2 linked regions of the Caenorhabditis elegans genome follow. The protein of the gene in region 2 purifies or fractionates together with the protein of the main gene of each other region. This does not show direct contact. Each region holds a gene or a part of one and is shown on either strand. Other genes may lie near its edges. The genes, in order: fbxb-112 and cbs-2.

Evidence for each region.
Region 1: the proteins of cbs-2 (region 2) and fbxb-112 fractionate together in Caenorhabditis elegans (co-fractionation; one large-scale study listed by BioGRID). This does not show direct contact.

What each region holds. Positions count from the first base shown.
Region 1 is NC_003280.10:3,489,262-3,493,183, reverse strand, and holds fbxb-112 (F-box domain-containing protein), read right to left. Parts: upstream 2,088-3,922; 5' UTR 2,006-2,087; coding exon 1,923-2,005; intron 1,150-1,922; coding exon 693-1,149; 3' UTR 601-692; downstream 1-600. Other genes in the region: Smu-2 suppressor of mec-8 and unc-52 protein, read right to left, coding at 3,107-3,313.
Region 2 is NC_003280.10:2,219,585-2,225,553, reverse strand, and holds cbs-2 (Putative cystathionine beta-synthase cbs-2), read left to right. Parts: upstream 1-1,986; 5' UTR 1,987-2,013; coding exon 2,014-2,131; intron 2,132-2,177; coding exon 2,178-2,245; intron 2,246-2,840; coding exon 2,841-3,643; intron 3,644-3,687; coding exon 3,688-3,794; intron 3,795-3,987; coding exon 3,988-4,439; intron 4,440-4,483; coding exon 4,484-4,875; intron 4,876-4,921; exon of another isoform or gene 4,922-5,041; coding exon 5,042-5,090; 3' UTR 5,091-5,158; downstream 5,159-5,969. Other genes in the region: F54A3.5 (MICOS complex subunit Mic10), read left to right, coding at 896-1,069; Y59C2A.3 (Trichohyalin), read left to right, coding at 5,644-5,712.

The sequences.
Region 1 (3,922 bases), 1.3 Mb from region 2:
AATATTTTGTCTGTTGACTATTTTCTTGTATCTTCCAAGTCCATCGATATCTGAAGCTTCAAAAACAACGACATTTTGGCTTAAATACGCATTCGAAGTAAAAAAAATTGTTTTAACATCAATTTGGGCAAGATTTTATTTTGAATTCGGTATGTTCATTGTATTAGCATTCAGAAAATATATCATTCGACACATAATTCTCTTGTCACCAAAATAGAGTCCCTGGTCAGAATAATCTCCGCCAATAACGCCCGTCCCGTAATACCCGTTCAGTTAAACCAACAAGAATAACTTTGAACTCGATAAATGAGCGTCGTTTTTTTGATATGAACAAGTGCCATTTTACCATCATCTCTCGTTATTTCATATCCACCATATACATATTCTTCCTCACCAGTCTCTTTTTTGACGTAACATGATTCCAGATTTTGCGATAAAATTGTATAAGGAACTCCTTTGAAGACAACATCTTCCTTCATAATTTGATCATCAAAGTCGTAAAGCAAAAACAAGAACTCAAGCATCGGATTTGAGCCTTTAATGAAATGCTTCAAGTACAGGTTGAGCTCAACGTCAGACAGTGTTCCCAGAGAAATTAAGATATTCGGGCTATTCATTACCAATACATCGTTCAGTGTGTAAGTGCTATCATCGTGAATATCTAGGGTTTCGAAGTTTGCTGCGAGAATCGATTAGTTAGAAGCTTTTTCGATAGTCAAGTGCATCACTTTTTCAGGGGAAAAGCAGGGAATCAAACCATGAGAGTTAAATGATGGATCAATAATTGATAAACATGATACTTTGAATCCTTCGAAAAACTTCTTGAATTCATCGATTGAGTAGTTTTGGTGGTTTTTTCTAAAACAAAGCTTCTCAATTTCTTCCTGGCCAGTCAGCTGTTTAACGAGAACCATCCAATCCCGTATTCCGAAATGTTTTAAAACCCATTCAGCAGTCCATGTTGGTCCCATATACCGATAGTCATGTAGATTGGCTACGCCGTCATTCAATAACTTTCTTGTTATATGTTTCGATGGATCTCGAATTGAAATATTAATTGTTTCAGTAATATCAATAAAAATTCGAGCCTCCTTGTAATTGAGTCTAAACAACCTTGACGTCTTCTTGGAGAGCGTGGTTAGTCCGATTCTGAAAAGAAGTCACTGTAATATTTAATATTTACATCAACTGTCTCCGATATTAGGTTTATTAAAGGTGGAGTAAAAAAAAACCACTCCTTTGGTCCCAAAATGACCAAATATCATGATAAAACTTTTCAAAAAATTTTGAAAATTTTTTATTTACTGTCAAAAAGTGGCAATTATTCAGTTTTTGCCACTCATAATTTTGGAAGTCGACCAAAAAATTTTTTTCGACATTTTTTATGTTTTAATTTTGTTAAAATTATTTGTATTAAAACATTGTAGAGGTCGAAACATGCGACATTTCTTTAAATTTCCTCAAAAGCTAGTATTTTTCAAAATTTTGACAATTTGCCAAAACTTTGACCGGAAATTGTGAAAAATCGAAAAATTTTTGAAGTGTTTTATTATGAAATTCGGTTGTTTTGGATCATTATGAGTGCATTTAGACAAAATCCCCACTGGCGCTACTCCACCTTTAATAATTTGTTGAGTATCAGTCAGTTAGTTAGTAAGAAATCAAAAAAAATCCGAAAGAGAAACGGACTCGTTGGTATACAAAAATTTGAAACAATTAAGAAAATGCATGCCGATATCAATTTTTCGACAAACTGTAAAATTGTCGGGTATGATTTAAAAAACTAGCTTTTACTGTGAAAAAGACGTGTGAAACTGTGAAAATTCAATTTTGTTTCCAGGTACGCCTAAGCCTAAGTCTAAACCTAGGTCTGAGCCTATGCCTAACCATAACCTTACAGAAAAAAAATCTTACGAACTTACATTTTAATGTATTTCAAGTGCTTCGTTACATTATCCAGTGCCTTTTTAGAAAGACGTAGAAGAGAAAAAGAGACGACAGACATTGCAGTAAGACTGCTGAGCAACAAGTGAGCACAATGGCAGCCAAAGACAATGGCTGAATGATCGATAGTTGGTATTTAATACCGCGTATGTAACGCAGTATGGTAGGAATAGTCTATGATCTCTTCCCGCACACTTCCCACGAGGAGGTATTTGCGTCGTGGCCAGCCTATACCTATACCTATACCTATACCTATACCTATACCTATACCTATACCTATACCTATACCTATACCTATACCTATCCCTTTACCTATACCTATACCTATACCTATACCTATACCTATACCTATACCTATACCTATACCTATACCTATACCTATATCTATTCCTTTACCTATACCTATACCGATACCTATACCGATACCTATACCTATACCTATACCTATACCTATACCTATACCTATTCCTATACACCTATACCTATTCCTATACCTATACCTAAACCTATACCTATACCTATACCTATACCAAAACCTATACCTATGCCTATGCCTATGCCTTTACCTATACCTATACCTATCCCTTTACCTATACCTATACCTATCCCTTTACCTATACCTATCCCTTTACCTATACCTATACCGATACCTATACCTATACCGATACCTATACCTATACCTATACCTATACCTATACCTATACCTATTCCTATACCTATACCTATACCTATACCTATACCTATCCCTATACCTATACCTATACCTATACCGATACCTATACCGATACCTATACCTATACCTATACCTATACCTATACCTAGTCCTATACCTATACCTATACCTATACCTATACCTATACCAAAACCTATACCTATGCCTATGCCTATGCCTTTACCTATACCTATACCTATCCCTTTACCTATCCCTTTACCTATATCGGCTTATACCTAACGAGACCCATGCTTTGAGGGCGGGGCGTTTTCCGGATTTGCTGTGGAGCGCATTTGCACCGTTAAAAATTCGAAAAAAATAATTCGATTTTTATCATTTTCAGAGCAACTTTTTTAAAAAGATTTTTTTAAAAAATCACTTTTTAGAGTAAAATTTATTATTGAAACGAACGGAAAAGAAGCAAAGAATTCATAAAAATCATTAAAAAAATCAATATTTAGGCTTCTTATAATCTCCACCACCACCGGCTCCATCTCCTCCGGCCTTCCGTTTATCCATAATCTTGTTAATCTCATTGAGCTCCCGATCGAGCCGCTTCGCATCCGACACTGCCGACTGTTTCTTGTTCTTTCGGCCACCTTCTCCATTTTTGACTCCGTATTGATAGGCGGCTTTTGGCAGAGCTTCACGTCCTTCCTGGAAATTTTTAAAAATTTGAAAAAAAAAATTTCCAAAAAAATCGATTTTTTTTTTGAAAGAACGGAAAAATTTCGAATTTCCGTTTTTTTTTTTGAAAAAAAAGCAAATTTGTTTTCGATTTCCCTATTTTTCCATGAAAAATCGAATTTTCGTTGACTTTTTATTATAAAATTCGTTTCCAAACGCATTTTTTCTCCACTAAAATCTCGAAAAAATGTCATATTGCACCATATTGTTCCCACATTTTTTCTAAAAATAGAAATTAGTATCAAAATACAGAAAATCACCTGATTTAGCTCAAAATAATATGAATGTGGAAACAATATGGTGCAATATGACACTTTTTCGAGATTTTAGTGGAAAAAAATGCGTTTGGATTTTTTAATGAAAAGTCAACGAAAATTCGATTTTTCATTGAAAAAAGTCGGGAAATCTAAATTTTTCCGTTTTTTTTCAAAAAAAATTTCAATTTTTTAGAAAATTTTGGACGTTTTTCGATTTAATTCGAATTTTTTAAAGGTTTTTTCCAGAATATTCAATTTTTATCGATTTTTTCTCAAAAAAAATCAGGAAAATCTTAATTTTCCCTTTTTTTTTTAACTTTTT
Region 2 (5,969 bases):
GATGATGGAAATTTGACGGAAAAATGTGGAAATCGCGAAAAATCACCGGAAAATTGTGAAAAATCGACTGAAATTCGATATTTTTATCGTTTCTTCAACAATTTTCCATTGAAAAATCGATAAATCATTGATTTTTTGCTATTTTTCAATGAAAAATCGATAATTTATTGATTTTTCGTTTAAAATAGCGAAAAATCAATGATTTATCAATTTTTTTGTTGAAAAATCAATAAAGTATCGATTTTTCAAAAAGTATCACAAAAAGGACATTCGATTTTTCAATTGACAATTTTTAAAATTCGCGCAAAATCGACTGAAATTCGATATTTTTATCGATTTTTCAACAATTTTCCATTGAAAAATCGATAATTTATCGATTTTTTGCTAGTTTTCAATGAAAAATCGATAATTTATTGATTTTTCACTCTTTTTCCGATAAAAATAGTTTTATTATTGATTTTTCAGTGGCAATTTTCAAAAAATCGCAATTAAAATGTCCTTTTTGTGATACTTTTTGAAAAAATCGATACTTTATTGATTTTTCAACAAAAAAATTGATAAATCATTGATTTTTCGCTATTTTAAACGAAAAATCAATAAATTATCGATTTTTCATTGAAAAATAGCAAAAAATCAATGATTTATCGATTTTTCAATGGAAAATTGTTGAAAAATCGATAAAAATATCGAATTTCAGTCGATTTTTCACAATTTTCCGGTGATTTTTCGCGATTTCCACATTTTTCCGTCAAATTTCCTTTTTTTTTCTAAAAAAAAACGTAGAAAATCTATAAAAATTGATTTTTCAAAAAAAAAAAATTTCTTCGAAAAATGTTAATTTTCAGCCGAATTTTCTCGATTTTCCCCCGAAAAAAAAAAGCTCATTTTTTTGCAGAGCCGCTCGTGGCCAATTTGGTTTGGATCAGGCGTCGGTTTGGGCACCGGATGGTCGAATTGCCGTCACGATTTCGCTTCGCCGTACGTTTTGCACGGAAAACGTGTTCCAGCTGGACAGGATTCGCAAGGAAAACCGGCATACAATATTATCACCGAACAACACAAGCAATAGAGAAAAGAAGAGATAAATTTTCGATTTTTTTGAGATTTTTTTGAATTTCCGCCCGCCACCCCGCTTTTTTTTGTTCTCTCTTGTGTCGAAAAATAGGAAAATGTGTGAATAAACTTATGAAAAAATATCGATTTTTTCGGATTTTCACATGGAAAACGGAACATTTTCAGATTTTCAGATTCAAATTCGAAATCCCCGCAAAATTTTGAGCTGAAAATTTAGGATTTGACTAAGAAAATAGCGAGGAATTCGAATTTCGCATTAAAAATGCACAGAAATTATTCGGAGCTCTCAAAAAATGAGCAAATTTTCAGAAAACGGAACAAAAATTTTGAATTTTGACGGGTTAACCGAAAATTTGAAAATTGCAGTTTTCTATAAGAAAAAAAATCGGGAAATGGATGGAAAAGACAGATTTTTCATTTTTACATCAAAAATTTAAGAAAATTCTGTTTAAAACTGCTAAAAACCGATTTCTTTGCAAAACCCTGTTAAAATATGATTATTTCCAATTTTCGAGCTCAAATTCGAGTTCCCCACAAAATTTCAGGCCAAAACCCGAAAACTAGAGGTTTCTAGTTCAATTTTGAATTTTCCCGGATTACGGTAGCGCCAAAAGTACGCAAACACCGACTACCAGTACTTCTACAGTACCCCTATATTTCTAAACCCCTGCAAATCTTTAAAATACGCCTGAAATCCATGAAAATTATAAAAATTCGGCTGAAAATTGTGAAAATATCCATATCACGTGTAATTTAAATAAAAGAAATCAATGAAAATTTAATTTAATTTTAAATTGATGACGTGTAAATGATCTTTCAAAAAAGAAGAAAATTTCCGTATGACCTCCCGTGTTATTGTTTTCCACATCCTTATCTCGTGAATTTGATCAGTTTGGAAATCAATCAATAATCAGTTTCAACTTTTTGCCCGACTGGAGGATGTGCCTGCCTACCATTAAAGCATTCAAGACAATTCTGGACGCCGGGAGCCACCGAGCAACTCAACTGGTGCCGTTGAAGAAGCTGAAGGCCGAGTTTCAGCTGAAAAGTGATATTTGTGAGTTTCTATGTTTCAGAAAAATCTGAAAATTTCCAATTTTCAGATGTCAAACTCGAATATCTCAACATCTCCGGGTCGCTGGAAGATCGTGCGGCTCACCGAGCATTTGAGGTGAGAAAACGGAGAACAATTGGGAAATGTCAATTCAAAATTCGAATTCCTTGCAAAATTTCAGTCTGGGACTGCAGAAACTAGCTGAAAATCGCTTCATTTTGAAGAATTTCCAGCTTCGACCGCGACGCGGCCGCAACGCGCGGAAAAATTGCCGAATTTCTGGTTTTTAACCGAATCTGGTCGATATGGGGTTTAAAATTTAGCAAATTTTGCGGGAAATTCGAATTTTTTAGTTAAAATTTTCCACATTTCCGGGAATAGTCACAAAATTATAGGTGTCAGTTAAAATTTTTGGTCACAATGGACTAAAAATAATTTTTACCAATTTTCGCTGCTAAATTCGAATTTATCTTAAAATTTCAGTCGGAAAATCGAAAACTAGAGGTTTCTAGCTCAATTTTGAAATTTCTCGGGGTACGGTAGCGCCAAAAGTACGCAAACACCGAATTTCACGCGATTTTCGAGTTTTGAGCTGAAAATTGAGTTTTAGACTCAGAAAATGGCGAGGAATTCGAATTTGATAATAAAAAATCCCAGAAAGTAATCTAAAATCTCAAAAACAAATTTTTTTAATTGATTTTTTCTTTTTCAGATGTCCAACGGAATCCAACGAGGCGACGAGGTCTACGTGACCGCCGGCGGATCATCTGCAGTCTCCTATGCCACCGTGGCAGCCGTCAAGGGGGTCAGACTAACCGCCCACGCACCTCCCGGAGCATTCGACCAGGTCAGGACGATTCTGAGCACTTTGGGAACCAAGATCGTGGAGCTCCCGGTTTCAAACTTCCGAGAAGCTCGGCTCCAGGCTGATCTACTGGCCAAGCGTCGAGGTGTCTACAATCTTGATGGGATCTGCGAGAAAGCCGCGTTTCTGGCGAATCTTGAAGGAACTGCACCGGAGATTGAGAAGGCTGGGAAGACCAGTGCAGTTGTGGTACCCCTGGATGCTGGTGGAGCTTCAGCGGCAGCAGGGATCGCTGCTTACTTCTTAAAGGATCAGAAGACAACAGTGGTCGGAGTGAGATCTTCAGCTTCAGCTTCAGCTTCAGCTCCAGCTCCAGAAACAGAAGTTCTTCTGCAGAAGTACAAGGTGGAAATCCGAGATGCTCCTGAATCCTACACCTTCACCAGACACCTCATCGAGACGGAAGGGATCATGGCTGGACCATCTTCCGGAGCGGCAGTGCTGGAAGCCATCAAACTCGCCAAGGATCTTCCAGCCGGGTCAGTGGTCGTGGTGGTTCTGATGGATGGAATCAGGGACTATCTAGATGCTGATTGGATGAAGGTGAACGGCAAGAAGCCTATCAAGCCTCGTGAGATCTTCGACCCGAAGGTGCTGGACTACGATCCGACGAAGATGGTCGGGGAGTGGAAGAGTTCCAGCAAGTTCAGGTAGGTTATAGGATCTGAGATTTAGCAGAAAATTTGATTTTCAGGCCGGAAAGACCACTGGTTCTCGACTCAGTCCTCGATGCGATCGGCAAGACGCCACTGGTGAAGCTTCAGCACGTTCCGAAGGCTCATGGAGTCAGGTGCAATGTTTGTGAGTTGGGAATTCCTCTGTCCGGTCTAGTCTAGTCTAGTCTAGTCTAGGCTAGTCTAGTCTAGTCTAGTCTAGCCTAGCCTAGTCTAGTCTAGTCTAGTCTAGTCTAGTCTAGTCTAGTCTAGTCTAGTCTAGTCTAGTCTAGTCTGGCCTGGCCTGGTCTGCCAAAAATCCTCATCTTGGACAATTTCAGATGTCAAATGCGAGTTCCTCAACGCGGGCGGCTCCACCAAAGATCGAATCGCTAAGAAAATGGTCGAAATTGCTGAGAAAACCGGCAAACCCGGAGCACTCACCCCCGGAGCCACCACCCTCATCGAGCCCACCTCTGGCAACACCGGGATCGGCCTATCCCTGGTCGCGGCGGTCCGTGGCTACAAATGCCTGATCACGATGCCTGAGAAGATGTCCAAGGAGAAGTCGACGACGCTGTCGGTGCTAGGATCCACGATTGTCCGGACTCCCAACGAGGCGGCCTTCAACAGCCCGAGCTCTCACATCGGAGTGGCTCTTCGCTTGAAGCATGAGATTCCGGGTGCGGTGATTCTCGATCAGTACTGTAATCCGGGGAATCCACTGGCACACTATGAGGAGACTGCGGAGGAGATTTTGTGGGATATGGGGGATCGGAAGATTGATCTAGTGGTGAGTAGGAACTTCGGATCAAGCTTCAACTGTTACTCTTACAGGTCCTTGGCGCAGGAACCGGTGGTACCATCACCGGAATCTCTCGGAAGATCCACGAGCGCCGTCCCAACGCGATCGTCGTCGGCGTTGACCCGAATGGATCAATCCTGACCGGCCCGACGACTGGACCCGCTCCAGATTTCTACGAGGTTGAAGGGATCGGCTACGACTTCATCCCGGGGACCCTGGACGAAAAATCAGTAGATTCCTGGCTAAAATCTGATGATAAGGAGTCATTCCTGATGGCTCGAGAGATCATCAGAACCGAGGGGATCTTGTGTGGAGGATCGTCGGGATGCGCGGTGCATTACGCGTTGGAGCAGTGCCGGAAGCTGGATCTGCCGGAGGATGCGAATGTCGTTGTGCTGCTTCCAGACGGGATTCGGAATTATCTGTGAGTTGTCTGGGCCTGGGGCCTACAAAATTAGGCCCAGCTTGCTTTGAGGTCTATTTGCTGTTTGATCTCTGAAAATTGCGGGAAACCTATAGTTTTTGTCGTTTTTAGAGGTCAAAATACTACTCTGTAGCCCCGAAAGCCAAGCTTAAACATAATTTTTCAGCACCAAATTCCTCGACGACGACTGGATGAAAGCCCGCGGCTTCTTGTAAATTGTGACCTAAAAAAATACTTGAAATTGGAATTATGAACTGAATTTTTGACATGAATGAAGATTTTTCTCTTTTTAACCGAGTGCAATCGCGCTCCATTGATATTTTTCCAGATAATTGGGCTTTTTTCCCGAGTTTTTTGAGATATAACCGATTTTTCATTAAAATCGATGAATTTTAGTGGTTTTTGCATTAAAAATGACCGAAAATGCATTTTTCCAGCAATTCGCCCTGTAAAATTAGTGAAAATATGGATTTTTCGTCATATTCCCTGCAAAATAGACAACAGAAGCCATAATTCAAATAACAGAAGCCATATTCGCCGTCCAGCTCAATCGCGCTCCACCGCACCACACTCAAATCCCCCTGCCACCCCGGCACGCGAAGGGGGCCCGGACAATGAGACACCCTGCACACTTACTCTCGCCGCCTCTCGCTCTCTCCGCTCTCGCATTTTCTATTGATTTTCCTCTTGTTTCCTCGAATTTTTTAGTATTCTAGAGCAGAATTTGGTGTTTTAAATCAATTTTTTTATATTTTAGAGCTCGAAATTATGACTTCTCTCGTGTTTAATGACAAAATGATGGCGGAAGAGGGTATGATGGTTCCACAAGCGGAACAAGTGAGTTTTTTGTGAGAAATGAATTAATATCGAGATTTTCCTGTGAAAAATGCTCAAAATCATAATTTTTAGGAGAAAATTTAAAAGAAAACGTCAAAATAGGAAATATTCTGAGCTTGTTATAGGAAAAAAAACCGTTAAAAAAAATGATTCCACAGAGGTTTTTTTGCTGATTTTTATCGAATTTCGGCCTAAAATTTCACTAAAAATTCATTAAACCCCAAGATTCACTGATAAAATTTTGAAGAAATTGCGAA